Linked DNA regions of Mus musculus. The protein of the gene in region 6 purifies or fractionates together with the protein of the main gene of each other region. This does not show direct contact. Links are inferred from orthologs where the notes say so. Each region holds a gene or a part of one and is shown on either strand. Other genes may lie near its edges. The genes, in order: Anapc4, Anapc1, Anapc16, Anapc2, Anapc13, Cdc26 and Anapc7.

Region 1 (3,810 bases), on a different chromosome or scaffold from region 6:
TTTCTTACCTGGAGAATAATCTTTTATCCATGTGTGGCTTTGAAAAATCTGGTGGTTTTTGTTGTTGTTGGTGGTGGTGGTGGTGGTGGTGGTGGTGGTGGTGGTGGTGGTGGTTTTTGGCAAAGATTGGTTCTGTTAGATTATAGATCTCCTAGGTGTTACTATCTTATTGCAGGTCTGTCCAGAAGGTACACTTTGTTAGTCACTAGCTTAATCAGAGAACTCTTTAATCCTGGGAAGCTGTCAGGCATAGCAGTGGCAGGTGCAGTTTCTTAACTTTTAATTCTTGCTTTAAAGTTTGTTTCTTACTGAGAGCTCTCACAAAGCTTGAAGCTGCCTGCAGTCCCCCTGCTGGGATCATAAGTCTGGACTATCATACCTAGCTGGAAGGTTAAATGTTACATTGGCATGAAATATCTTGGGCTGAGTGACAGGCTTGTTTTATTTTCCAGAAAACATCTTCCTAATATCCAAGATGAATAATTACAGTCTTTCCTCCAGTCACTTTTTCAAGTAAAAATGCAATCCAAATCTTCAAAAGTGTCTTGTCTTAGGTAAAACTAAAATACTTGTGTAAATGCCTCTCCTTAGGGTAACTCTCCTATTTGGTGTGCCACAAAGTGCCATGTGCCTTCTTCCCATTCTGTCACACAGATGTGCAAGATCTGTACTCAGAGGTTGAGATTTAATAAAATAAATAAAGGCTCTTTACAGATAAACAAAACTATGACCATAGTGGCTGGTGTGCCCTTCTCAGCTGGGCAGCTACCTTGATTCGCTTTTCCCACCACCAGTGCAAATGCCAAGAGACCGGTGTTTGGATTGTTACAAATCTGCTGTTGATCTGTTAGATCCCTGGAGTGTCTTGATGACTTGCAGGGGTCTGTGGGCACACTCTTGGAGCAGCTAGTTACATTGCTAGATGGCACTTAATTTATAACTATTTAAAATTTTCTCATGGAAATGAAGCACAAACTTAACCTCAGTTATGGTCTCTATGGTAACCATTCTGACCGTCCAACTGTTTAAAGTTTGTTTTCTTGACATTTAACAGACTTTTGTGTCTTCACTTTTTAAACAGTGGACTTGCAGAAAATTTGTCAGTAAAGCACAAAAGCACAAAAACATTCTAAATAGAAAAAAAGTGATTTGGTGAGCTTTATTCTTTTCTGAATTGCAACGGTCCACTCTTACTTGTAGTATTTGAAAGATGAAGACGACGACCTTGTGTCACCCCCTAACACAGAAGGAAACCAGTGGTATGACTTCCTCCAAAACAGCACCCACCTGAAAGGTACTCATGAACTTCCTCGTAGTTAACTGGGACCAGATCCTTAGTCACCAGTTGACAGTTGAGCTAGAATCCTGCTGAGTGTTGTGGCTCTTATGTCCATTGTCTTTGATTGTGTGAGACAGCACAGTAACAAATGGGGTGTGCTACTCTCATGATGTGTCTAAGACATTGGGATACCAAGTGACATCAGTCAGTCACAATTCCATCCGAGGGTTCTGATGATCACTTCAGTATGACACTAGAGACCTTCAGTGAGTGTCAGACACTGAAGGAGTGAAGGCTCAGTATCCCCACCAGACTGCCCCAAGGCCAGGCCAGGTTGCCTCTGCCTCTGCCTGGCAGTCCACAGGGAGTTTCTATACCTTCCTTTTCTTCCACTTAGAAAAATTCAGGTTTCCTAACTTGCTTACTAAAAAATAAATACAGGACAGTCAAGCAGGAGATTCATGGAGTAGGTACGGAGGAGAAGCCAGAGGTTCTAGGCCCTCACAGCCCTCTGTTCACAAGTCTGGAGTCTCTGCAAGCCTCAGCACATGGGTTTCTTTAATAGTGACTTCATTACATAGATGTGATTGATTACGTCCTTGCAGTTGGTGATTGAACCCCACCTCCACTGCACTCTCTCCTGAGGTTGGCAGATAGAGCTGGAAGGTGAAGCTTCTGATCAAGGTGCCCTCGTCTGAGGCATCCAGGAGCCTCCTTGTTCACTTGGGAAATTCCAAGGGTTGGAGGAGTGGGAAACCAAGATCACATGCCGTTCTCTCATACCATTCTCTGATGCTTAATAGCTGTCTTAGTCAGGGTTTCTATTCCTGTACAAACATCACGACCAAGAAGCAAGTTGGGGAGGAAAGGGTTTATTCAGCTTATACTTCCAAATTCATCACCAAAGGAGGTCAAGCAGGTCAGGAAGCAGGAGCTGATGCAGAGGCCATGGAGGGATGTTACTGGCTTGCTTCCCCTGGCTTGCTCAGCCTGCTTTCTTATAGAACCCAAGACTACCAGCTCAGGGATGGCACCACCCACAATAGGCCCTCCCTGAGTAACCACTATTGAGAAAATGCCTTACAGCTGGATCTAATGGAGGCATTTCCTCAAGGGAGGTTCCTTTCTCTGTGATAACTCCAGCTTGTGTCAGATTGACACACAAAACCAGCCAGTACAGCAGACTAATGTTTAAAATGCATTTTAGCCAGCATACCAGGTGTAAGGTGGTGTGTGTCGGGGTGCCTGCAGAGCCATGGAGAAATGGGCTTCAGAGTCAGACTCAGCACTGAGATCTCTGGGAAGTCATTTTAACACCCGACTGCTATGTGAGCTTGCTAAGCATGTTTTGTTTGCTCTGTAAACTGGAGAATCCAGTGCTTACTTCATAGAGTCGTAAGCAGCACTGACAACAGAAACAGTCTCTCAGGGGTTGGGGTGTAGTTCAGTTAAGAACTGCTTCCATCTTGCAGAAGACCTCATTTTGACTCCCAGCACCCACACTAGAGGTTCACAGCTGCCTGTAAGTCCAGCTCTAGAGGACGTGTTGCAAGCACCAGCACACATGAGGACGTAACTGAAAATAAACACCAAAACAAAAAAACGAATTTCACAGAGCAGCAAGGGGAAAACACTAGTTCTACATCACTTTCTACTGATAAAGTAGCCTTTTAAAGAAGTAAAAAGATATTCGTGTAGAGTAGTTTATTTCTTGTTTCTGTGTTAATGCTATACTCTCAAGGTAGCACTGGATGCCCCTGGTCATCATTCCACAGCAAAGACTAGAGCGGGGTGAGCAGTGCTTCACTACATGCTCGTGGTTCCCCGTGTGCTCCTCCGTTAGACCAGCACGAGTGCACTGGGCCTGGACCACACCAGCTGTCCTGAGGTGGGCTTAGCCGCTGGAATGGGTAGTGATAGGATGCAGATGCTGTGGTCATTCTGAATGAGGTCTATGGAGGTATCATAATTCCACCCTGGGCTACACGGGGCTGGTTCTAACAATGTTTTCTCCTAATTATTGCTTTGCTTCTGTTTTTGTTTGAATCCAGAAAGTCCTTTGCTGTTTCCTTATTACCCTCGAAAATCATTGCATTTTGTGAAAAGGCGGATGGAGAACGTTATTGATCAGTGTTTGCAAAAGCCAGCAGTAAGTCTGAAATGTGGGAGTGAGAAAAACTGCAGTGTCTGGCCCACTTACATAAGTGACCATAGTATATAACTGTTTTTCATTATTAAAACGGGTAGTTTCTTATGGTTCATCTTGTTAATTCCTTACACAGATTTTAAAAGTAGGCTAGTGAAAGTGTTGACGTCTTTAGGGATTTGTTCCAAGAACACTTAGTGTTTTGAAGTTTTATAGTTCCAGAGCTGTTGTGTCTTGTTTTTACTGTTGATTGGCAGGTGTGGAGACGCTACTGAGAAGTGTGTGCCTTCCTGTGCCCCACTGCCAGCTCCTTTAAATCTCAGAATTCTCTCTCTCTTCCTTCCCATTCTGTCACTAAGGATTCTCACCTCAAAGTTTGATGAGA
Region 2 (3,810 bases), on a different chromosome or scaffold from region 6:
AGCTTTTAAAAAAATGGCAGTACTAACACAAGATGAAAACACATAGGTGAATAGGTCTGAGTTTGGGGGACAAAGAGCTAAGTAATCCATAGCAACGTCTTCCGAGCCCCACGCTGAGTAACTGGAGAACGGTCAGGCACCCCCACCCTGAAGGCATCCGCTGGTGCATCATAAACCATTTGCACCTCCTGCAGAATGACGGACAGAAGGCTGGGCTTTACACCGCTACCAGCGTTCTAAAGCTAAGTCTGAGACCTCGCTGCTTCGCCTACCAACAAAACCAAGAGGTCTAGTTACGTCGTTTTACAAAGATAACTGAGAAACAGTCAAAATCAGGCAGCAGTAACACACAACTGCAATCCCAGCTTGGAAGGCAAAGTGGGGAATGTGGTGAATTCAAGACCAGCCTGGGCTACGTACACAGCAAGACCTTGACTTTAAAAAAGACAAAAAGAAAAGAAAAAAAGGTAAATTGTGCTTAAACAGATTTTTAAATAAAGACTCAAAACCTACTAAGTATTTGATTCATGCTATATAGGACAACAGGCCTTAGTATTATCCCGACATATTCTAAGGCTTACCTATTATTAAGTTTGTCAGGTTCTCTCAGTTATATAGCCAGTTATACAAGCACTGCATTTCTAACAGGATAATGAAGAAAACAACTGTAGTTACTTACACTTCGGGTCCATGCTAAGCGGTCTGTGTTATAACCCATCATGTTCAAGAGACAAATCACAAATAAACTCCACTCTGAGTGACAGCTGGGTCCTCCTGGAGCACTGTGCACATTGTACCACTTGACGAGCACCTGAATGGCTACTTCTTTTGGCAGGATGAACTTAATTGCTTGCAGACACGTTTGTACTATTAAAAGCAAATACTGATTTTAGTATGTACTGCCTGCCTCCTTTCAAATGGGAAGGTTCAAATTGCTACCATGTCCAGGCCAGCCAGGAAAAACAGAAACTATCACTAAGGACACTGGGCACAAACATTACCTCAACATTATCAATCACGTTAAACTAACTACTGAATTCAACAGGGCTCACAGAAAATCTGAAGATTAGCTGTCAGATCCCTAATTCGGGACTAGAAATAAAGTGAGCATATAGCCCAGTTCACCAGAAATAACCACTGCTCCAGGAAATAACTGTTCCCTTTTCACTCTCAAAACTGTCCTACTTTGAACAATCAAGCTTACTTCATAAAAAATATCTAATTTCAAAAAAAAAAAAAAGAAAAGAAAACAAAGCCGGGCGTGGTGGCGCACGCCTTTAATCCCAGCACAGAGGCAGAGGCAGGCAGATTTCTGAGTTCGAGGCCAGCCTGGTCTGTAGAGTGACTTCCAGGACAGCCAGGGCTACACAGAGAAACCCTGTCTCGAAAAAACCAAAAAACTAACAACAACAACAACAAAAATCTAATTTCTACACAAATAAATTTATATAAAATGTGGATTAAATCCTTCAGTAGATTCAACATGCAGCACAGGCACCTACTAACAGGAATGCTTAGGGATGCTACAAGCTATTCTCAATGAGTGAACATTCCTGTCAACTAACACTGCAACTCGTAATTTCTACACTGTCTTCCTCACCATGCCATAAGTAGGTTAGGGCGAACACTATCTAATATATACTGCTCTTAGTTATGGCACATCATTGGTGTGAAAATCAGCTACAGTGAAGAGAGCCAAGGGGACTGCCTGCTGTAAACAGCAGATTCACTATTGGGACAAAATGGCTCCAGACAGTCCAAGTTTTCCTTCTTGTTCCCTCCACACCACCACTGTCACTGACGCCATCTTTAGCAGCACAGCCTCATCAATCAAATGAATGAGCAGACACTGAGAAGCCTAGAAGCCTAGACTATAAATCTTAGAAAACCAAAACGGCATGCTTTAGCTGAAAACAAACAAGAATAAACCAGATGTTGCAAAGGACTCACTTCTACAAACAGAAACCGCAGGGTGGAGAGTTGGTTCAGCAGTCGAGAGCCCAGGCTGCTCTTGTAGAGAACCTGGGTTCAATTTCTAGCACCCATATAGCAACTCACAACCATTCTTAACTCTAGTCTGAGGGGACCTGACAGCCTCTTCTGGCCTCCACAGGTACTGCATTCAGACAACAACAACAACAACAAAAAAGAGACCAGAAACTGTTCCCATCAACAGTGTGGTAAACAAACTGAGACCAGAAACTGTCCCCATCAACAGTGTGGTAAACAAACTGAGACTGCACAGTACCTACCTAATTCCGAGGTGGCCACTTCAGGGATAGTGATCCGAACCATGGAGCCATTGCTCAGTTCCTAGTGAAAAGAATGGAAACAAACAAACAAACAAAAAAACCAACTGCTTAAGCATTCTAAGTTTTTAAAAGCTTTAAAAAAAAAAATGGCAATTTTTACTACTGTCTGCCAGTCAAGGCAAAATACAATAAAATGAACTGCTATACTTTTCAATGAGAATGAATGCTTCTAACTAAATATACATTTTTGTAAAATACTTTCAAAAATTCTTTTAATAATGCTTTTATCCAAACACTACGACACCAACATCATCAAAAGTGATTTTCTCCGAAAAGACAAAAACACAGCAATGTGAACTGACGGAGTAAATGTGCTTGTTTTAGATACACTTGTTATATACTCTTATTAGCTACTTGAGAATTTCATATAATGTCCTTTTATCATAGTCACCCCCAACTCCTCGCAGATCCTATTTCCCAACCCCCAACTTCCTGTCCTCTCTCCTTCTTCTTAACAACCCATCAAGCCCAATTTATGCTACCCATAAACTCTCAGATGTGGAAGAATCCACTGATGGATGGGTGGTCATCCTACCAGGGTCATATCCTTTAAGGAAACTGACCTTCCCTCCCCCAGAAACCATCCATTCCCAACAGCTCCTCAACTGGGGTTGGGTTCAGTAAATGTTTAATATAGAAATCTCAGAAAACAGAATTAAAGTAAAATAGTACAAAATAATAGCATGTTTTAAAAATGTCAAGATATCTGAAAGACAAAGTAACTCAGCAGTTAAAGCCTGGCACCCTGCATTCATTTCTTACAGCTCACATGAAGATGGAAGCAGAGAACCAACTCCAAAGTTGTGGCCATTCATGTCATAAACACATGAATGCATACCCACACACATATGCACACACATATACATGAATGCATACCCACACACATATGCACATCATAGAACAATAAATGTTTAAAATCATGAGAAATGTTCGTTTTCATTTCCACACATAATTTTACATCCTGCCAAATGTGAACTATCAGACAAATAACCCTTAGCCAGCTGCTCCACCCTCTGGAGGATCAGTCAGCTGCTCCACCCTCTGGAGGAGGACTTACTAGAGTGACTCTGTTATGAACAGGGTCTCGCACAGAATGAATGTAAGTTCCAAGCTGCTGGAATGTGCAATCCTCATTGTAGAGAGAATCATTAAGTTTTGAAGAATCCCTCAATTCTGGAACTGGAGACAACAGAACCACCTATAAAAAGTCACAATACAACACAGATGAAAAGACTTTGAGATTAAAGACAAGGAGCTGTATTCTTGCATATGGTTTGATGATTCCGATCATTCTGTTCCAATAATGACAGCCCTGCAGCAGACCAAGTTCTTCACAGAAAAAGCATCTGACTGACAGCATGCATACATATCACATTATGACATCCTTCAAATGTAGACCACTTGTCACCAGGCTTTCCAGTCTGGTGGGCACAGGCACCAGCCTAAGTTGCTCAGAGAACTCAGCCTCATTCCTCAGTAGCACTCAATAGCCTCAGAG
Region 3 (3,810 bases), on a different chromosome or scaffold from region 6:
TTTATAAACTTGCCAATCGCTGTTTCTTTCCTCTAGTGAAGAGAGACTTCTACTGGAGGGAATGGCCGCCTCCTCGTCTTCGTCTTCAGCTGGTGGGGTCAGTGGAAGCTCTGTCACCGGATCTGGTTTCAGTGTGTCCGACCTTGCCCCACCTCGGAAAGCTCTGTTCACCTACCCGAAAGGAGCTGGAGAGATGTTAGAAGGTGATGTCTCTCATGCTGGGTTTCCTTCAGACCTTCAGTTCATGTAGAGTGTAAAGGACCTGGGGCTGGGGGGGGGGGGCTCAGATAGCTCCAAGCCAAAGCCCTTGAGTGACCTGACCAGGGTTGCCACTGGCACCACGTACCCTCTTGGTCTCCTGCAGGTTGCCTCATAACACCTGCTTGATGTATTTTCTCTTTTAGTAAGTATCTACAGATAGACTAATCCCACCAGAGAGGCCTAAAGGGGAAATAAAAGTCAATGTATTTACCTCTGTGAAGGTGACTCTCATGGACCACTGCCGGACATGGCTGTGTGACGGCATGGTTTTTATAGCACTGGAGATAGACTTGGTCTTATCACACAGACTGGCTGGCCAGAACTAGGTCACGGGCAGCAGCCATGAAATGGCATTAGTGACTGGAACGTCTCGGATTCATGTAAACTAGACTGGTAATTCATTGTAGGAGCGTAAGACTCATGTGACACATTTAACTTAAAATGAACATGTCTTGCTGGGCAGATGTATCTCTGAATTCCAAGCCAGCCTCATCTTCATAGTGAGTTCCAGCCAACTAGGGATGTACAATGAGACTCTCTTTTAAGAAAAGAAAAGAAAAAAAAAATTAAATGCACATGTCTGGGCCACTCTACAGATCCTGAATTAGCCTAGGACAGGAAACTGGTTTTTGACCAGTATCTGAGGCCTTCTCATGAAGGAGTCTTCTCATATTTTCAAAATACTGACAAAGAGCCAGGCGTGGTGGCACATTCCTTTAATCCCAGCACTTGGGAGGCAGAGGCAGGCAGATTTCTGAGTTCGAGGCCAGCCTGGTCTACAGAGTGAGTTCTAGAACAGCTAGGGCTATAAAGAGAAACCCTGTCTCAAAAAAACAAAAAAGAAAAAATACTGACAAGGAACCCATTAAGGACTCAAAATTTGCCGGGCGGTGGTGGCGCACGCCTTTAATCCCAGCACTTGGGGGGCAGAGGCAGGCGGATTTCTGAGTTTGAGGCCAGTCTGGTCTACAAAGTGAGTTCCAGGACAGCCAGGACTATACAGAGAAACCCTGTCTTGAAAGAAAAAAAAAAAAAAAAGAAAGAAAAAAGACTCAAAATTCACTGGAGTCAAGCATTTTTGTATTGAATTATAAGATGCTCTTTTTTGCTTTAAATCTTGCATATTTACATGCATATATTTTAAATTAATTGGGTGATATCTCTGAGAAAGGCACAAACTATTCAGGGACTGGCTTTCTAGGGAGATCATTATACATTTATATCAGGTACTTTTAAAAACCCAGTTTCAGGTTAAACTATGCCAAAGCAGTGTTGGGGATTGGATACCCAGTGGCCTCATGCATGGTAGGCAAGCAGGCACTCTTTGACCCGGCTGCATGCCTGGGAGACTCTAGTGCCATAAGGCTCTGGGGTCACTTGCATCTAATTGGTAGAGCAGCCACAGGTGCCGTGTGGTGTGGAAGGCGGTGTGTCAGGCATGTGTACTTTCTGCTTTGCCTTTTTGTTGGTCTCCGTTTGTGTGGATATTCAAGTTGGTATCATCAAGTCTGACTGGAAGTAGAATCTTTGTGTCTGTATTTGGCACTAAAAGTGGATTACAACTGTAGCTCTCTGCAGCAGCGATGTAGTTAAGGAGGCCAGCCACAAAACAAATGGCAAGTTGAAGGCATTTAAATTGCTTAACGAGCTTTATAGAACAGAGAAGAATCCGTGCTTAACACTGCTTCAAGAAAAAAGTGATTCAAGTCCGTCAGAAGCTCATGGTCTAACAGGCCTCTATCTAGACGTTCTCATTACCTCACTGAGGAGTCAATTGGATTCTATCGTATGGTGGATTTACCACGTGTAAATTCATGGTGTAGTTATGGCCTCTCTTAACCAGTTTCCCCAGTAATCTTAAAAGCTGCTTACAATGAAAGACAACTGACTTCGACAAAGCAAGTATCTGACATACTTTTGAATATCAAGAATACAGAAAAGGGGCTGTCTGGTAAAATACAGAAAAGATGGCTCTGCTGGCAAAAGGTACCTGGCACCATGCCTGACCGCCTAAGTATGACTTGTGGCTTTGATGGTGGGAGAAGAGGACTGACTCCCAAAAGTTGTCCTCTGACCTTCCCATGAGGACCCATACATAAGTAATAAATGCCTAGTTAAGAAAATGAAAACACGGGGCTGGTGAGATGGCTCAACAGATAAGAGCACCCGACTGTTCTTCTGAAGGTCCTGAGTTCAATTCCCAGCAACCACATGGTGGCTCACAACCATCCCTAACAAGATCTGGCGCCCTCTTCTGGAGTGTCTGAAGACAGCTACAGTGTACTTACATATAATAAATAAATAAATCTTTAAAAAAAAAAAAAAAAAAAAAAAAAAAAGAAAATGAAAACACCACCATTACCCTCACAGTATCTGCTGGGGCTTGGCTCTGCTTCAGCCTCCTCTCCTACACCACCTCCGACTTCCACACCTGTGCCTCATCTCCATGGATACTGAAGTCAACAGGTGCTCAGTCTCTTCTGTGAAGTGGCATGGTATTTGCATATGAGTTGTGTGTGTCCTTCCATGAAGCACTCCTAAATGTGAGTTGACAGGAATGTCAGATCTCGGGGTGACCCTGTTATAGGTTAATATGCCTGCATCAAAGCCTTTTCTTCTTCGTTGTTGAATTCATTTCGTTTTGAGTCTTGTGTAGTCCAGGCTTGACCTCTGACTCCTTGAGCTTCTTATTCTCCTCCTCCTGCCTCCCAAGTGCTGAGACTACAGACATAGATTATTTATTACTCTGTCTGCTTTATTCCGAGTTGGGGTCCAAGCCCAATGGTGCCAACTGAGCTACATCCCCAGCCCTGTTTTTTTTTTTTTTTTTTTACATTAGTGTAATGGAAGAGGAAAATAGAAACAGAGCACGCTGATGGAAAGCAAGAAACCCCAGTGCTCAGAAGGCTGAGATGGGAGAACTGTTCTGAGTGTGATGATAGCCTGAACTATCTAGAGACTGCCATGCCAGCCTGGGCACAGAGTGAGACTTTATTTTAAAAGGCAGGGGGAGGAGGGCAGGGGCAGCAGAGAGCAAAAGCATTTAAGAATCAAGGTTAGTGGGGCTGAAGAGATGGTTCAGTGGTTAAGCACACTGGCTGCTCTTCCAAAGGTCCTGAGTTCAATTCCCAGCAACATGGTGGCTCACAACCACCTGTAATGGAATCCGATGCCCTCTTCTGGTGTGCATGAAAACAGCACTTGCATATATAAAATAAAGAAATCCTTTAAAAAAAAAAACAAAGGAAGGAAGAAAGAGTCAAGGTTGGGTGTGGGTCATAATCCTAACAGGTTCAACTTGATGTTTGTTGCCTGCCCCTAAATCTAGGATATAAATCCAAACAACCTATGTTTAACCTCTGGGATGAACTTCTTGTTACATCTGCTGTCTGCTAAGAGCAGCATGCAGCAAGATTTAACAGTGTCCTGCCCTCTGCTAGCATTGCTCTCACCCAGCTATTAGTGAGCAAATTAGAGGCTGCCTTCCAGCCCACAAGTGGCTGTATCTTAGGGACCTCACAGGCCACTGCTTCATATAAATCACCTGGG
Region 4 (4,261 bases), on a different chromosome or scaffold from region 6:
AATGGCCTTTTTCTTTATTTTGTTTTTGTTTTTTTGAGACAGGGTTTCTCTGTGTAGCCCTGGCTGTCTTGGAACTCACTCTATAGACCAGGCTGACCTCCAACTCAGAAATCCGCCTGCCTCTGCCTCCTGAGTGCTGGGATTAAAGGCGTGCGCCACCACTGCCCAGGTGGTAAATGCATATCTTTATGTCCAAGTTTTCTCTATGTCTGTTTCCCTCTTCTTGGGATACTAGTTATATCAGATTAAGGACCCTGGAGATAGGACTTACAGTGTCACTAGAGTCAGTGTCCTGGGCTTTACTTACTATCTCTTTGAAGAGATACAGTTTGGCCCATGGCAGCCTGTGGTTCTAAAACTAATAGTCTTTACATGAGAAAATTAGCCAATATCTCCAAAATTAACCACTTCAGCATCAGTTCTTAAAAATCTCTTCTAATCTAGATGGGTGGTGCCTATCTATGATCCTAGCACTCAGGAGACTAAAGCAGAAGGGTGGTGGTTCATTATATAGCCTAGCTATATAGTGAGGACCCCCCCCAAAAAAAAAAAAACCGTATCCATCTGAAGTAGGTTTCGTCTCCACCTTGATGCTGTGAGGTTGTTTTGATCCAAAGCACATTGTTAAAACAAGCCCAGTTCAGAAGAGGGTGTTCCCAAAGGCAGCAAGAAGGATCATGAGCCTAAAGCAAATCTGAACCACGGAAAGCAGAGTTGACAGTGTGGCTCAGGCCTTGGTGGTGCCCTTGGCTTTCCTGGCAGCCCTGTGTGCACTCTCCTGTACCTCTGTCACTGCATTCAGACTGTCAGCATTGCTGCTGACATAACACCCAAAATCTTGGTGCTTTCCATGAAGTGTACAATATCCAATTTATCAAGTGACTGTGATCCTGAGCCAAGTGTGCTGGTGATGCCTGTCACCCCAGCCTTGGAGGCAGGCACAGCAGCAGCACTGCTAGTTTGAGGCTAGCGTGTTGTATATAACAAGTTTCAAGGCAATTCAGCTATAGAGGAAGGCTCTGTCTTTTATTTAAAAAATGAAGAAAAGAAAGTGAGGGAAGGGGTATGTTCCTGGATATGCTACGTGTTCCGGGTGGATCTACAAATCACACTCATGTCAGCAAACATCTAGCTACAGGCTGGTAGTTCTCTGCCAGCTCCCCCAGTGTCTAGTGTTTGCTCATCGTTTCTATCTGAGCTCTCAGCAGCAGGTCCTCTCAGTGCCCTCATCTCTACCAGCATTATTCTCTATAGTATGGGCAATAGCTCTTATCCTTCCTTGAGCCTTCACCAGCATCATCTGCATCTTCCATGTCGTGCCAGTTAACTGTAGCAACCTAAGGTTTAACCTTCATGTGCTTCCCCATTGTACAAACAACTTCTATATTTTAGGTGTTTTTAGAGCAGTATCCCTACATAGAACCAGAATCATCCTTTTTTTTTTTTTTTTTTTTTCTGTTTTAGACAGGGCTTCTCTGTGTAGCCCTGGCTATTCTGGAACTCACTCTGTAGACCAGGCTGGCCTCGAACTCACAGAGCTCCACCTGCCTCTGCCTCCCAAGTGCTGGGATTAAAGGCATGTGCCATCTATACAGCAGAAGCTTCACTTATTATGACCTTTTTAACAGGGCTACACAGAGAAACCCTGTCTTACAGACAGACAGACAGACAGACAGACAGAAGACAAAGTCACAGGCTGAGTGGTTTTAAACAACAGAAAAATGTTTTAGTTCTGGGAAATAGAAGTCCAGTGTTGGGGTGTTGGCAGGACTGGGCTCCTCCTGTTGCCTCTAAAAAACTACTCTTTTGCTTTCCCAGCTTTTGATATGTCAGCATACTTTATGCCTCTCATAACCACTCCCTTCTGTGCCTTAAGGGCTACCCTACTCCAGGATGACCTCTTCTTAACTAATTACATCTACATTAACTCTCTTTGCAAATAACTCATGTTCCAAGGTACTGAGACATGAGAGGGACACAATTTATCAGCAGTTATATCATGGTTGTTCAGGAGCCAGGGACTCCAATCAGGTCTCCTGGTCTTGCTGTTGACTACCTACCTGCCAGGAATGGCATTGGTGCAAGAGCCATTCCATGCTTGGTAGCATGGCATATGAGCCTATGCCTTGTTCATCTGGACCTGCCTGGAACCCACTGGACTGTTATTGATGATTCCTGCCCAGGCTATGCGGACACTTAGTTGGAAGCACACCCTGGGCCTGGTGACAATGGATGTGGAGCTTGCTGACCGCACCCTGTCTGTTGCGGTGACCCCAGTACAGGCAGTGGTCTTGCTGTATTTCCAGAACCAAGGTGAGTCCCTAGAACCATATCTGCTCTGCTTTGACTACACTACCTTGGGGCTATTGCTATAATCTGATGGGCTATAAGGTAACATGCCAGATTCCCCAGCCCCCAGCAGAGTGTAGGGGTAGCAACCATTCTTTTTACCTATGAGTTACACAGGACAATCCACGTGCGTCTGGGGGTCCAGCTAGCTAACAGGTATTGGAGCAGGTATAATCTTCGGTACCTGCATCCTATGGCTCTGCACACAGCCAGCTGGACCCTGGAGGAACTGAGCAAGGTGGTGAAGATGCCTGTGGCACTGCTTCGAAGACGCATGTCAGTGTGGCTGCAACAGGGTGTGCTGCGGGAGGAACCTCCAGGCACTTTCTCTGTCATTGAGGAAGAGCGGCCTCAGGATAGGGACAACATGGTGCTGATTGACAGTGATGATGAGAGTGACTCAGGCATGGCCTCCCAGGCTGACCAGAAGGAAGAGGAGCTACTGGTACGTTGGCCATTTCCACATTGGGCTGGGGTGGGCCAAATAAGTGGACAACTAACCATGCCTGGCTTCTGTTCCTAGCTCTTCTGGGCATACATCCAGGCCATGTTAACCAACCTAGAGAGCCTCTCTCTGGAGCGTATCTACAGCATGCTCCGGATGTTTGTAATGACTGGCCCTGCGCTGGCTGAGATTGACCTGCAGGAGCTGCAGGGCTACTTGCAGAAGAAGGTCCGAGACCAGCAGCTCATCTATTCTGCAGGTGTCTACCGCCTGCCTAAGAATTCCAACTGATGTTCCCTTTCCAGGCTCTGACTACAGCATTCATGCCTGTGCAACCCCTAGATGGACAGCTTCTATTTCCATGTTCCTGTGCCCAGTCCCTGCCCGTTCCCTGCCTAACACCCACAGAACAAATTAAAGCATATTGGCTCATCCTTTCATGTATTTTGTTGGATCCCATGAATACAAACAGGTTTGCCCTCTATAGCCACCCAACCATAACCCTACAGGGCCTGGATTCCCAGCAGCAGGTAACTGAGCCACCCAAGAAGCCAGGCTTACCCCAGCCTAAGCTTGTATGTTTGGGCAATAGATTACCCTAAAGCTATCTCCTGTAGCCTGTCTTAGAATATGCTGGGACCTGTTTCAGCAAGAGTGAATAGGGTTGGCAGCTCAGAGTCTCCCGAGTTAGACTTTGGCCCCATCCTGCTTTTGTGGCCATTAAAAGGAACTCTTGGTCCTTCACTTGTGTGTGGCATCTGTGGAATCAATGTAAGGCTTTGTGCTGTTAGTACATTTGCACTCGATGAGATCCTCAGGTGAGGCAACCTGAGTCAAGTGCACACCTGTGTCTAGCAGTCAAGGTCAGCCTAAGGACATATGCTGGGGGCCAGGGGCGTATTAGTCCTTTGTCCTCTTTTCTCTACTGGCCACACTTCTTGGAGCTTACAAGTATGTACTCAGACTCTTTCAGGTCCCCCAGAGATGCTGTCAGAAGTACAGGAAGAGGGTGGGGACAAGAAGAGAACCCAGGACACAGTTTAATAATCCTTTTCCTCCAAGATAGGGCTCAGCCACCCTTGTAGGCAGGCTGTGCCCAGACACCTGTTGAGGACAGGTTGGCCTTAAGACAACAGAACCTGGTGGGACACAGCATGGGCCCCTGTGTCCCTGTCCCAGAACAGCTGTTTTCAGTCAGGAAATACTGACCTGAGGTGCCATCCTCAAAGGAAACAAAAGCCCTTTGGAATCATTGCTTACACACCCAGATCCTGCCCAAGGTGGATCCCAGGCCACAAGCCACACCTAGCTTGGGCTGCTGCCACTACCCCTAGTCCCTTCCCAGTCCCCTCAAGCCCAGTCTGTGCTGCAGAACCACCACCTCTCATTATCAGCTACTAGCTCTGGTGTGGGTTCTGAGCGGTAGTCCCCCTCAGAGGTCTCACTCCACCCTTCCTGTTCTACAGA
Region 5 (4,281 bases), on a different chromosome or scaffold from region 6:
GCAGCATGATTAACAATATCTCCATTGTTTCTGAAACTTCAGCATATACACATTTTAAAGGGACATGTGTCTGTGGTTTAAGTCTCTAACCCTCTTTAGTTTCGCAGCCTCCTTTACTATACTGACCACTGAGGACGACACAGTAAAAGACAGAGAGCACGGGACAAAAATTAACCTAAAAATGGCGCTGCATTCCAAATAAGATAATTCGTTTCATCATATCGTTAAGCTGCAGCCTTTAAGAATAAGTGTAAAAGCCGGGCGTGGTGGCGCACGCCTTTAATCCCAGCACTCGGGAGGCAGAGGCAGGCGGATTTCTGAGTTCGAGGACAGCCTGGTCTACAGAGTGAGTTCCAGAACAGCCAGGGCTACACAGAGAAACCCTGTCTCGAAAAACAAAACAAAAAAAAAAAGTGTAAAAAGCTAAAGATAACTATAGCCATTGATCTCTGACTTACATACAAAATATAAAATACAAATATTCGAGTTGTACAAAGAGCTATAATAAAGTAATACATTTTTGAAACTCTAAATTGGCCTCAAGAAAGCCAGGCGAGGTGGCGCGGATCCTTAATTAGGAGACATAGGTAGGCCCATCTCTGAGTTTGAGGCCAGCCTGGTCTACACTGCAAGTTCCAGATCATAGCTACAAAGGAGAGCCAGCGCTAGTTGGGGAGAATGGGGAGCACTTTTGGCAACAAGTCTACAGTCTGTAAATGAAAACTAGGTCTGACATCAGAATGCACTAACTCCACGATTTTGTAAAGGACAAAAGCCCATTCACTGTCAAGTGTCTCCGCGTGAAAGCGCTGTTGTGGAATTCCCCTTTCCAAACTTTCACTCCACCAATCTTGTTTCCTATGCTTGACTTGAAAGCGTGAAGCCATCTGCAATTCCCCTGCCATCAGGGGTTCCCGCCACATTTCCGCACCTCTCATACTAACATCACCAAGGAACCCTGCGGGCTTCCCGCTGGGCGGCTAACGCTAAGGCCTGGTCCTACACCGGCGGCAGCAGCAGCAGCCGGGTCCCTTCCCGGGAGCCATGCAGCCCACAGCCCGCAGCCCGCCCTCCCGCAGGCCGAAGCACCTGGCCGGCCAGCCCAGAGTCCCATAGGGAGGAGGAGGAACCCAGGGGCGCGACGACCGGGCAGCCGCAACCCGGCATTGGAAAGCCCCGCGGCAGGTGGGCCGCAACGAGCTGCGGCCGCGGGCCATGAGGCCTGGAGCCTAGCGGCACCACCGTGGCCAGGGCCGAGACCGCACCACAGTTAGCCGCAGCTCGCCCGTCTTTGGGGCATGCGGTCGGTTACAGAGCGCGCCCCCGGCAGAGCGCGCCTCCGGCGGAGCGCGCCCCCGGGCCTGCCCGCCGTTCCTCCGGCCGGGGATGCGCGCAAGTCACAACAAATCGCTGTCCGTCCCGCCCCCTGCCGCAGCGCTTGGACTCACCCACATCCGGGGCTTGAGAGCGCCGCGAGTCACGTGACCCAGAAGAAGGGCGGGGCCGGGAGGAAGCCGACGCGCGCGCAGTGGGTAAGGGTTTTTCGCGCCCGCGGCCCGGGTTTCCGAGGGTGGCCAAGCGTTCGCCCTCGAACTCCGGCGTCTACCGCTTCCAGAGGCGCGGGCCGGTACTTTCAACCGAGCTTCAGAGCCACTTCTTTACTGCACGCTGTGCGGAGTGGAACGGAGCCCCCATGGCGACGCTCGACCTCCCCCCTTGCACTTCCGCATGTAGTATCCTCCCACCCCTCGAACCGGAAGTCGCTGCAGCGGGTGACTGTAGTGTCCCAGGATGGTGGCCTCCGAGGGCCATTTTAGTGTAGGCGCCGTGCTCGTAGCTTAGAAATACATTTACAAAGCTGTGTGCATGAAAGGTGTGTATGTCTCATAGGACGTACGCATCTAATGTCTAGAAAGAGATATCCGGGCAATGTGACAAGCTTTCCTCCTGTTGTCACGTATTGTGCCCAGAGATCTAGGGGACTGGTGAAGGAATGGACCCTTGGGACTGCACTCAGCCTGGGGTCTAAAGGAAACAATCTGAGAGCTGAGAGTTTGATATTATCTGGTATCCGGAGCGGGGGAACTTTCTGTTTACGTAAAGGGTGAGCACCCGAGCACCTGACCCAGGAAAATAGATGTGTTTGGAAGGACGGCCAAGCATAAGTGATGAGGGACGGGGGTGGGTGAAAAGCGTGCTAGTTTCTAAGCATGTAGAAGAGAGTCATGTTACAAAGTATTGAGGCGAACTTGTGGAAAGACTGGGTATCCTTACATTACCGCTGGAGACAGTAGTACCCTGCCAGTCAGTCACAAAGCTGACCTGACTTGTTTCATAGATCATTTGAGGCAAGCAGCAAAGCATTCAAGGACAGAGCCTGCTGAAAAGCTGGAGAGAAAGTCAGAGCACTTTAGAAAAAGGTGCAATCCATAGGGACTGGGAAAGTCAGCACCAGAAGGTGTGAAATGCAGCCCAAGGCTCAGCTACAAAAACAAAAGGCTTGTCAAACCCTGAGGGGTGATTAGAAGTGGCCCTTCAGCTGGCTTTGCGTTATCCACTAGCTAGGGTCTGGTTATGTCTGAGGAAAACTGCTAAGTTATCACCTGGTTTTAACGTGGCAGAGGGAGCTTCAGTGTGTGTGTGTGTGTATACGCGTACACGAAAGTTGTGGTGGTGGGGGAGATTTCTGCGTACAGGTGGAGTTGTAGATGAGTGTAGAGGCCAGAGGTCAACATCAGTGTCTTCCTTTATTACTTTGAATCTTAAACCTGGAGCTTTCTGATTCAGTTAAACTGCCTGGCCTGGCAGCTTCCCAGAGAACACAAGTGTGCCATCGTGCCAGGCTTTTTCTGCGGGTGCCAGGAATCTGAATTCAGGTCTTTTTGCTTGCACAGCAAGCACTTCACTCCACTGAACCTCCTCCCAGGCCCCAGGTTGTTTAATTTTTTAAAGTAAAAAGCCCTTTCCCTCCTACAGACTAGGTAGATAGCGCTAGCTTGCTTGCCTTTATTCTGTTGGAGGCAAGCACATAGCCGCGTAGCACAGTTTGTTTCTTGTATGAGTCTCCCTTCTCTCGGAAACAGAACAGTTCCTGAGAGAGCCACTGGTACTAATCCTCACAAGACCTTTCCTTGGGTTGCCACTTTGTGGCAGGGAGCACAGTAGGGTGTGTTTGTGATAAGGAACAAACTTGGAAGCCAGAAACCCAAAAGCACTGCTTGATGACTGAGTTAGACTGCAACAGTTTCAGGAGAAAAATGTGGAACAATCTGTGGTCTGGGAGCTTAGCAAGCATCCTGAGCACTTGGACCAGGCACTGAAGAGAGCCAGCAAGATGGTTTAGTGGCTTAAAGGCGCTTGCTGCCAAGCCTGGCAACCTGAGTACAATCTCTGGGACCCGCCTGGTGGAAGAAGAGAACCAAAATCCCCAAGTTGTCCTTTGACTTCCACACGAACTTACACATATACATTGTTTCTTTCAAGAAGGAAGTAGGCTGGGTGTTGGGATCACAGCACAAAAGTTCTTGCACCCTCACATATCCAGGGAGGCCGAGATGTTAAGCATGCAGGATTGTTCTTCCAATGTGAGAGATATAAAACTTGTTCAGTCCACAAAGCTGGGAATTGGAAGTGATTGACAGCCTGGTGATCTGCGTTATCTGTTGGGCCAGGCCACATCAACCTACAACCAGGACCGAGGGTGGCTAGTAATTTAAATGACCCTGATAAGCAGGGGTTCCCTAAGCTCCAGAAGTAGCTAAGAGACCAGATGATGTCTATGTTATTGTATGACCTTCCTTAGACCCTTAAGCTAGTACAGGTAACCTATCTCTAGAACCCATCGTCTTGGAAGAAATAACATACCCTAAGTCGAGTTTCAATGTAATTGCACCTCCCTGTGCACCAGAAACTGTTATTACACCAGGAAACTTTCTTCCAAATCATACTATGTTTAAGTTTGTTCGGAGTAAACCGCCTAGCATCAGACCCCCCAAGTCTAAGCAAGACTGATAAAGTCAGTCTGAACCCAGTTTTCATTCTCACCTGACAGTTTGCTTCCCTCCCTGGACTCCTGCAGGGCCCCCTCAGCTGGGGATGGAGGTCGGTTGGCAGTGTGCTTAACTGTAGTATACACAACACCCTGGTTCTGTAACCAGAGCCGGTGGCACAGGCCTGCAATCCCATTGGTGGAGGCAGGAAGATTGGAAGCTTAAGGCTGCTTTTGGCTATAGAGAGTTTGAGACTCTCAAAAAAACAAACAAAAAGGAGGACGCCCAGAGG
Region 6 (4,457 bases):
AGTCCCCCATAGATTTGTGGCCATCAGTCATGTAAGGGCAATGCCCCAAGCCCCCCACCCCCAACATAGATGAGGCATCACTAACATCTCAGACCAAGACAAGAGGAAAAGAAACGTGACCACCATAGGATCAAGCCAGATCTCCATTCTAATGAGTTGCCTAAAGGCCTGGAGGGCATAAGCAATAAGCTTTCCTTCCCAGACACTCCTCCCTGCAAAATGTATTTAACCTCAGGCCCACCCTGAGAAGTGGGGGCATGATTTTATACATCCACTTTCCTCTATGACAATAAATGCCTTACTACTATGGACTGCCTCTTTTCATCGGGATCCACCATGGGGAGCCATGGAGAAGGCCTTCGACTATAGAGCCACTGTCTAGTCCTGTAGAAGGCCTTTCTGCACTCCCAGCCACCACTGCCCACCAAGCCCAAGCCCAAGCCTGCAGTCAAGCCAAGGACTCTCCCCGTGTGACCAGCCATTGTTCCCCTTCCCCCCACCACACACAGCCAGCCAGCTGCTCCCCCACTCCATTCTCAGCTCTTCTGGGGCTCCCAGCGGGGCCTGGATGTTGGAAAGCCTGAGAACCGACCACCCCAGCCTCATCACAAGCAGGCAGACCCCCAAACCAGCTCCCACTGTTCCATGCCTCAGACTGCCCGCTTTCCCACCAGCAATGTCCTGGGGCTTCCCTATGGCCCAGCACCAGCCCTGAGCTGGCATGAGGTAAGTGCAGTCAAACTCCCTGTGTCCTGCCTCCCCAAGCTGCAGAGCAGACTCAAGACCCACAACCCTACACTAACTTTTCTTAAGTTCTAGACTCTACCATTATTGGGTTTTTTTTTTTCACTTTAGTAACTAAAAATTTTTGCCTCTTAAAAAAATTATTTAATTATGTATTGGGTGTTGGTGAAAGCACACAATTCACAAGCATCGGTCAGAGGACAACATCTGGGGTCAGTTCTCTCCTTCTACCATGTGGGGCATCACACTTAGCACAGGTTCCTTTACCCACTAAACCGTCCCACATTCGCATTCTTTGTATTATTTTAATACAGACACCTTGGGAAACTTGAAAAATTATTCCAGTTTTATAAAGTTGAAGCAAACAGTTTAGTTAATATCAGAAGCCGGGCAGTAGTGACACACACCTTTAATCCCAGCACTCTGAAGTCAGAGGCAGGAGGATGTCTGTAAGTTTGAGGTCAGCCTGGTCTACAGAACATGTTCCAGGACAGCCAGGGCTACACAGAGAAACCCTTCTTGAAAAACAAAAAATGTGGGCTGGAGAGATGGCTCAGCAGTTATGAGCACTGATTGCTCTTCCAGATATCCTGAGTTCAAATCCAGCAACCACATAGTGGCTCACAACCATCCGTAATGAGATCTGACACCCTCTTCTGGTGTGTCTGAAGACAGCTACAGTGTACTTACATATAATAAATAAATAAATCTTTGGGCTGGAGCAAGCAGGGAGAGCGGGGCCTGAGCAAAAAAAAGAAAAACAAAAAACAAAACAAAACAAAAAAAAAGCTAAATCAGCATTCTATAAAAGTTACACATAGGGGCTGGAGAGATGGCTCAGTGGTTAAGAGCATTGACTGCTCTTCCAGAGGTCCTGAGTTCAATTCCCAGCAACCACATGGTGGCTCACAACCATCCGTAACAAGATCTGGCGCCCTCTTCTGGAGTGTCTGAAGACAGCTAGTGTACTTACATATAATAAATAATTTAAAAAAAAAAAAAAAAACAAAGTTACACTTAGACCACTAAAATAAAAAGCTAAATGATAGTGATCTACATGAAAGTTTTGCTATAGTGTGCATTCATAGAAATTATTATTGCGTGCATCCAGAACGAAACAAAACACTACAATGTATAGGAAACATTTACACTTCTCTCAGGAGGCTTAGCACAGCAAGGGGTGATCTAATCAAAACACTGGCCCGTGACATTTCAAAACTGCTTTATTCTATCAGATACTACTTTCTACCAGATCCTTACGTAGAGAAATGGAAGTCAGCTCCAAGGGGGAAAGGAAGAAACACTTAGAAAAACAACAACAACAACAATAATTCCCTACTTGCGAGGGAACTTTCTGAAAGCCTCACCACTAGAGAGCAATAATGAGTACGAGTTAAAAGCGCGGCTCGGCGGCTCGCGACCTGCCACGTTACTAATTCTACTACTACGGCTCCAGAACGACCTTTTCTCACCAGAATGTTTTTTGGTTTTTTTCGGGCTTGTACTCTTGTCCGTGACTGAGATGACTAAAACAGAATAAGCTCGTTGCGCGTAACTCGGCATTAGTAAGTCCTCGAAAAGGAAGTGCTCTTCTAATTGGAGTTGTTCGGGGCAGGGCCTTGAGTGTGGAAGTGAGTCTGTTCAGCTCGGCAAACGCGCATATTTTTGTAACCCCCACAACTTTCATGTAAGGATTTTTTTTTTAAAAAAAACCTTATCTCTGATGGCCTAACATTCATTGGAGCTACTACTGCTGATATGCTCTTTATCTGGAGCCTTCATGGACCCTTTATTTCAAAGAACACAGACAAAGAATAGGCTGTAGACAAGTAAACCCACAACAAACTAGGCCGCAGCTCCTCCACCACATCTCTATTTTAGCCTTAGAAGGTCTTAGAGTTTAATATCTTCTTGAAGCCCAAACTGATTACGTAGCCACCGAGTTACGAGGGGCCCCCGAAGGACTTCCGTCGTGGACAACAGTCCTCTTTCCCAGCTCCAAGGCTGCAGAAGTCTAGGGAGAGATTTCCATGGCAACACAGGCCTCAGCTTCGAAATGGCGGAAGGCCTCCCGAAGGATAACAGAGACCCTCGTTTTGTTCCAGATTATGGTTGCGATCCGCAAACCTACCTCTTTTCAGGCCTCTGCAGTTCCCCAGAACCTCAACTCCCACCATGACTCCATTGCTGCGCAGCCCAAACTACACCTCCCAGGCTGCTCTGCGCCTCTCTTCCCATGCTCCTCTTCTCCCGCGAGGTTGTGTAGCTCTGTAAGGCCACGCCCCTCGACTCCAGCCGACCTTTGGCAACTACCATTCCCAAGATACTTCGCACGTAGTACGTTTCTGATACGTTTCCGGCCAGTGACGCACTTCCACTTTGCTAGGCGCGCGGTTCCCGGTCTGAAAAGTAGAACGCGGATTTGGCTAGGGCCTCGCGTCTCCGCCGCCCGGCATGGCCTCCTCACGAGCCTCCTCCACGGTACGGAGCTCTGGATCTAAGCTCAGGCCTGCCCTAGAGAGGCCGGGGGTTCCCGTGGGAAAGGGCCGTTACCTTACGGGTCTGGGCCGAGGAGGAGGAAAGCTGAGGGACCCTAGTGTGGACCTTAGTAGCCTTTTCCTGATGTCTTCGTGTGCTGCAGCTCTCTTTGCACTGCTCTTACTTAAGTCCTGAGCAGAGACCACTCTTTCTGGCTGCTCCAAAACACGGTGCTTTGGAATCGGGTTGTGTCCTGACTTAAGCTGTCCGACTCGTACTTACTATGATGAGGCTTCCCAACTTGTAATCGGCTCTGAAAGTATTTGAAATGTGTATTCCAGTCACATCGTGACTTGGTGCACCTAGAGCCACCCTGATTGTTTAGGTTGTTTTTAGTGTCTGCCCAGCAGTGAGAAGTTATTTTCGTAAAACCGGAGATTGCTTTTCCAGTCGATTAAAGTAACGGGCCCCAAAACAACCAAGACACTTCAGGCAGAAATTGATTGGTCGTATTTGTGTGCCAAACTTAACAAGAGCCTTAACTCGCACAAAGTCAGTTTCGACTTTCTCCTCTAGTTTTGAGAGGAAAGAAGATGAAAGTGCAGCGTTAGCTTCATTCTTTTGGGAAGCATGGTTTGCTGGAACTAAACCTTAGTCCGGGTCTTTGATTTAACAGACAACCAAAACCAAAGCGCCTGACGATTTAGTTGCTCCCGTTGTGAAGAAACCACACATCTACTATGGAAGCTTGGAAGAGAAAGAGCGGGAACGCCTGGCCAAAGGAGAGTCTGGGATTTTGGGAAAAGAAGGACTCAAAGCCGGCATTGAAGCAGGAAATATTAATATAACATCCGGTAAGATGCAAATTGCAGGTCATTACCCCCACACACACACCCTTTTTTAAACAGTGCTGGGAATCCAACCCGGGTTTTTTTTTTTTTTTTTTTGCATGCTAGGCAACTGTTCTGCCACTGAGCCATACATTTCCATCTCCCCCCACCCCCCACAGTCTCTTACCTTTGACCTCAAACTCCTCCTGCCTCCTTCCTGGTCGCCACCATGTACTTTTGATGATTCAATATTCTGATGAACACCTTCCCAAACCACATAGTATTAGGTTTATAGGCCAAAACCTTCTATTGGTCTGGGGAGCTAGTTCAGGTGCCAAAAGCTTTTCTCTGTGACCATTAGGACCTGAGACTGAGCCCCAGAACCCATGTTTTTTTACTGGCTTG
Region 7 (3,810 bases), on a different chromosome or scaffold from region 6:
TTTTTTTTTTTTTTGGTTTTTCGAGACAGGGTTTCTCTGTGTAGCCCTGGGTGTCCTGGAACTCACTCTGTAGACCAGGCTGGCCTCAAACTCAGAAAACCACCTGCCTCTGCCCCCCCACCCCCCCACCCCCCCAGTGCTGGGATCAAAGGCGTGTGCCACCACGCCCGGCCCATTTGACTCTTTTGAATGATTTTGTTGTATGTACCTGTACACAGGTTCCTAAGTACACATACATAATAATACAGCTTATTTTTTAAGAAGGTACTATAGATTACCAAATGAAGTCACATTAGGGACTGACTGCGGGACTGACTGCTAATAGACTTGGAATTACTTTGGTTTTTATGTTTATGTGCCTGGTGCATTTGGAGGCCAGAAGAGGGCATCAGATTCCTTGGAGGTGTAAGCTGGAGTTACAAAGAGCTGTAAACTGCCCGATGTATGTGCTGGAATTTAGACTTGGATCCTCTGCAAAATTCCTGTGCTCTTAACTGCTGAGCCCCTCTAACTTCCCTTTTGAGAGAGGGTCATAACTCAGGCTGATGTTGGATTGATTATGTAGCCAAGCATAGCTTTTTCTTTTTTTTTTTAAAGATTTGTTATTTATTATATGTAAGTACACTGTAGCTGTCGTCAGACACCCCAGCAGAAGACATCAGATCTCATTACAGATGGTTGTGAGCCATCATGTGGTAGTTGGGAATTGAACTCAGGACCTCAGGAAGAGCAGTCAGAGCTCTTAACCTCTGAGCCATCTCTCCAGACCCCAAGGATAGCTTTCTGAATGCCTGGTCCTCCTACCTCTGCTTCCATATGCTAGGATTGCAGGAATATATGACCCTACCTGGTAGTGGTACCTAGTTGTTTGGTTTTTTAAAAAAATTGTCTCCCATTTTGTTTGTTTGAGACAGTGTCTATAGTCTTAACTGTTCTGGAACTGGCTACGTAGACCAAGTTGGCTTTGAACTCAAAGATCTTCCTGCTTCTGTCTCCCAAATCTCAGTGAATTAAAGATCTACACCACCACATATGGCTTCCCCTGTGTTTAAAATACTTGGGCCAGGCATGATGGCACACGCCTTTAATCCCAGCACTCAGAAGGCAGAGGCAGGTGGATCTCCGAGTTTGAGGCCAGCCTGGTCTATAGAGTGAGTTCCAGGACAGCCAGAGCTATACAGTAAGACCCTGACTCCAAACAAACAAACAAAGAAACAAGCAAAAAGCCCAAACAAAATAATAATAGCATGAAATAAGTACCTTTTTATAGACTTCCTTGTCTCAGTCTGTTCTTTACCTTTCAGAGGAAAATATATACCATTACTTAATTTGGGAAGGAGTGGGACTGGAGGTATAAACACAAGAGTGGTAACCAGGGTTGCCGATAAGCTGTGGGTGGACTGCTTACCTAACATGCAGAGACCTTGGCTTGGTACCCCATGCAGGACGGAAATAAAGCAGTGTCTCGGCATTAACCTTGCTTATAAGGACTATTGCATCTTTTTGAGGTTAGAGGTTGAAGTTCTGTGATAGGCTTGCCTAGCCTTTGTGAGGCTTTGGGCTCCATCGCGCACACACACACACACACACACACACACAGAGAGAGATAGAGAGAGAGCGCAGAGGACTGTTTGAAGCATGGGATTCCCACACAGTGACTTTAGACACCTGAGAGTCCAGGTGACAGTGTGCTTCTAGTGCTGGCAAGCTTGCTTTGTGTCTGTAGAATTGAACGAGCCTTTAGGGCCTGGGGAGATGAAATGGCGCCATAGTTAAGAGTGTTTGCTGCTCTTGAGGGGACTTGAATTTCTTAGCATGCATGTCAAGTTCCTAGGGGGGTGTGTGTCCAACCTTCTCTTCTGGGCAGCAGCGTGCACCTGTGCACATACGCATATAAATCACAGTAATGACTCTAAGATAGACTAATCCGTTATCACTCTGCCATTCTGGCTTTCCAATTGTGTTCTCTTACTGGCTTTTTTCTTTGGTATTTGAAGTTTGCAGGAGCCTGTTTTGTTGAGTTTCTCAATGAAATAATTCAGAGTGGTAAATTTTCTTTCTAGAGTCTCTAGCTTTTTTGTAATTATTGCTATCCTTTGGCAATATTATCCATAAAATTTGATGTTAACCTAAGATAATAGAGGTGTATGTAAAACAGTACTAAATTAAGAGGTCTTATTGAGTAGGCATAGCGGTCCATTCTGTGACCCATCACTTCCAAGGCAGAAGCAGGAAGATTGCTGTAAGTTCAGGGCTACCTGGACTACAGGTGAGCTGCTGTCTCAAAAAGCCAGAAAAGATGGAAGGATGTAAAAATGGGAAGGAAAGCCTGTGTTCTCCATTTGTTCATTGTATTGATTTATAGGTATCATTAGCTTCTGTAGTAAGAAAACACACATTGTACAAAACCACAATACAGTAAGATAGTGTTTTAGATGTTTTGGCCATATTTGCATGGTGTTCAAATGCTGTGCCTCTCATTAAGCCACTTAAATTTAAGGAATATTTTTTTTTCTTTTTGGTTTTTCGAGACAGGGTTTCTCTGGAACTCACTTTGTAGACCAGGCTGGCCTTGAACTCAGAAATCCGCCTGCCTCTGCCTCCTCAGTGCTGGGATTAAAGGTGTGCACCACCACGCCCGGCTGTATTCATGTTTTTTTGCAAGCTGGCGTGATAGAAGGTTTTTGTGGTAGGCTTAGGTACACCAAGGTGCTCTTTCTAATTTTCAAAATAACCCATGTAGGACTTGTTTCCTTTATGTTCTAGTGAGCTGTTTTCCCCGTCGCAGAAGTACCAGCTCTTGGTGTATCATGCAGACTCTCTGTTTCACGATAAGGAGTACCGCAATGCTGTGAGTAAGTACGCCATGGCTTTACAGCAGAAGAAAGCCTTAAGTAAGACTTCCAAAGTGCGGCCTTCCACTGGGAATTCTGCATCTACTCCACAGAGTCAGGTGAGTAAGAGCAGACTCAGTCACTCAGTCAGTCACTCAGTCAGTCATTTATTGTGTTTTTGGGGGGCAGAGTTTCTCTATGTAGCTTTGGCTGTCTTGGAAGTAGACCAGGCTAGCCTCAAATTCAGAGAGCCACGTGAAAGGGTGGCCACCACCGTCTGACGTGCCTGTGACTGTCTATGTGTATATATTTATTGATTTATTTATTTGGGTTTTTTTTTTATTTATTTACTTGTTAAAGGAAATGTACGTTATTTGTTTTATATATTTAAGTACACTGTCACTATCTTCGGACACACCAGAAGAGGGCATCAAATCCCATTCCAGATGGTTGTGAGCCACCATGTGGTTGCTGGGAATTGAACTCAGAACCTCTGGAAGAGCAGCCAGTGCTCTCAACTGCTGAGCCATCTCCAGCGCGTATACGTATATGTATATGTATGTATGCACATACTAAGAGACAAGATTGAAGTACTTGTTTCAGCACTGAGCTGGTTGGTTATAGAATGAAACAGTTCTATATTCTTTGTTATTATCACATGATATTCCATGGTTCCCGAGTGCTGCTTTTCTTTCATCTTTGTATTAATGAATACTGGGGTTCTCCTGTCCCTCACAGCTGATGCTGCTGGGGTGCTTTGTGTCCTGGTTAGGTGAGCTTGGTCTCTCCAACTCATAGAGATCCCCCTGCCTTTTCCTCCTGAGTGCTACAATTAAACATGTGTGCCACCACTGCCGGGTTTTATTCTCATTTCTTTTTTTTTCTTTCTTTTTTTTTTTTGTTTTTTTGAGACAGGTTGTCTCTGTGTAGCCCTGGCTGTCCTGGAACTCACTCTGTAGACCAGGCTGGCCTTGAA

The links.
Region 1: the proteins of Cdc26 (region 6) and Anapc4 purify together in Homo sapiens (affinity purification with mass spectrometry; 11 studies listed by BioGRID and IntAct, with this or other methods). This does not show direct contact. The link is inferred for Mus musculus from reciprocal best matches to the Homo sapiens genes CDC26 and ANAPC4.
Region 2: the proteins of Cdc26 (region 6) and Anapc1 purify together in Homo sapiens (co-immunoprecipitation; 6 studies listed by BioGRID and IntAct, with this or other methods). This does not show direct contact. The link is inferred for Mus musculus from reciprocal best matches to the Homo sapiens genes CDC26 and ANAPC1.
Region 3: the proteins of Cdc26 (region 6) and Anapc16 purify together in Homo sapiens (co-immunoprecipitation; 5 studies listed by BioGRID and IntAct, with this or other methods). This does not show direct contact. The link is inferred for Mus musculus from reciprocal best matches to the Homo sapiens genes CDC26 and ANAPC16.
Region 4: the proteins of Cdc26 (region 6) and Anapc2 purify together in Homo sapiens (co-immunoprecipitation; 7 studies listed by BioGRID and IntAct, with this or other methods). This does not show direct contact. The link is inferred for Mus musculus from reciprocal best matches to the Homo sapiens genes CDC26 and ANAPC2.
Region 5: the proteins of Cdc26 (region 6) and Anapc13 purify together in Homo sapiens (affinity purification with mass spectrometry; 4 studies listed by BioGRID and IntAct, counting the BioPlex papers as one, with this or other methods). This does not show direct contact. The link is inferred for Mus musculus from reciprocal best matches to the Homo sapiens genes CDC26 and ANAPC13.
Region 7: the proteins of Cdc26 (region 6) and Anapc7 purify together in Homo sapiens (affinity purification with mass spectrometry; 5 studies listed by BioGRID and IntAct, with this or other methods). This does not show direct contact. The link is inferred for Mus musculus from reciprocal best matches to the Homo sapiens genes CDC26 and ANAPC7.

Annotation. Positions count from the first base shown.
Region 1 is NC_000071.6:52,857,913-52,861,722, forward strand, and holds part of Anapc4 (anaphase-promoting complex subunit 4), read left to right. Parts: intron 1-1,200; coding exon 1,201-1,294; intron 1,295-3,330; coding exon 3,331-3,428; intron 3,429-3,810. UniProt on the Homo sapiens protein: Component of the anaphase promoting complex/cyclosome (APC/C), a cell cycle-regulated E3 ubiquitin ligase that controls progression through mitosis and the G1 phase of the cell cycle.
Region 2 is NC_000068.7:128,663,196-128,667,005, forward strand, and holds part of Anapc1 (anaphase-promoting complex subunit 1), read right to left. Parts: intron 3,511-3,810; coding exon 3,370-3,510; intron 2,314-3,369; coding exon 2,253-2,313; intron 868-2,252; coding exon 680-867; intron 1-679. UniProt on the Homo sapiens protein: Component of the anaphase promoting complex/cyclosome (APC/C), a cell cycle-regulated E3 ubiquitin ligase that controls progression through mitosis and the G1 phase of the cell cycle.
Region 3 is NC_000076.6:59,992,841-59,996,650, reverse strand, and holds part of Anapc16 (anaphase-promoting complex subunit 16), read left to right. Parts: intron 1-36; coding exon of another isoform or gene 37-61; coding exon 62-203; intron 204-3,810. UniProt on the Homo sapiens protein: Component of the anaphase promoting complex/cyclosome (APC/C), a cell cycle-regulated E3 ubiquitin ligase that controls progression through mitosis and the G1 phase of the cell cycle.
Region 4 is NC_000068.7:25,282,379-25,286,639, forward strand, and holds the end of Anapc2 (anaphase-promoting complex subunit 2), read left to right. Parts: intron 1-2,183; coding exon 2,184-2,313; intron 2,314-2,558; coding exon 2,559-2,794; intron 2,795-2,872; coding exon 2,873-3,085; 3' UTR 3,086-3,538; downstream 3,539-4,261. UniProt on the Homo sapiens protein: Together with the RING-H2 protein ANAPC11, constitutes the catalytic component of the anaphase promoting complex/cyclosome (APC/C), a cell cycle-regulated E3 ubiquitin ligase that controls progression through mitosis and the G1 phase of the cell cycle.
Region 5 is NC_000075.6:102,624,815-102,629,095, forward strand, and holds the start of Anapc13 (anaphase-promoting complex subunit 13), read left to right. Parts: upstream 1-1,481; 5' UTR 1,482-1,532; exon of another isoform or gene 1,533-1,750; intron 1,751-1,785; exon of another isoform or gene 1,786-1,873; intron 1,874-1,912; exon of another isoform or gene 1,913-2,104; intron 2,105-4,281. UniProt on the Homo sapiens protein: Component of the anaphase promoting complex/cyclosome (APC/C), a cell cycle-regulated E3 ubiquitin ligase that controls progression through mitosis and the G1 phase of the cell cycle.
Region 6 is NC_000070.6:62,405,677-62,410,133, forward strand, and holds the start of Cdc26 (anaphase-promoting complex subunit CDC26), read right to left. Parts: upstream 2,950-4,457; 5' UTR 2,876-2,949; intron 1-2,875. Other genes in the region: Prpf4 (U4/U6 small nuclear ribonucleoprotein Prp4), read left to right, coding at 3,199-3,225, 3,899-4,076. UniProt on the Homo sapiens protein: Component of the anaphase promoting complex/cyclosome (APC/C), a cell cycle-regulated E3 ubiquitin ligase that controls progression through mitosis and the G1 phase of the cell cycle.
Region 7 is NC_000071.6:122,425,365-122,429,174, forward strand, and holds part of Anapc7 (anaphase-promoting complex subunit 7), read left to right. Parts: intron 1-2,766; coding exon 2,767-2,953; intron 2,954-3,810. UniProt on the Homo sapiens protein: Component of the anaphase promoting complex/cyclosome (APC/C), a cell cycle-regulated E3 ubiquitin ligase that controls progression through mitosis and the G1 phase of the cell cycle.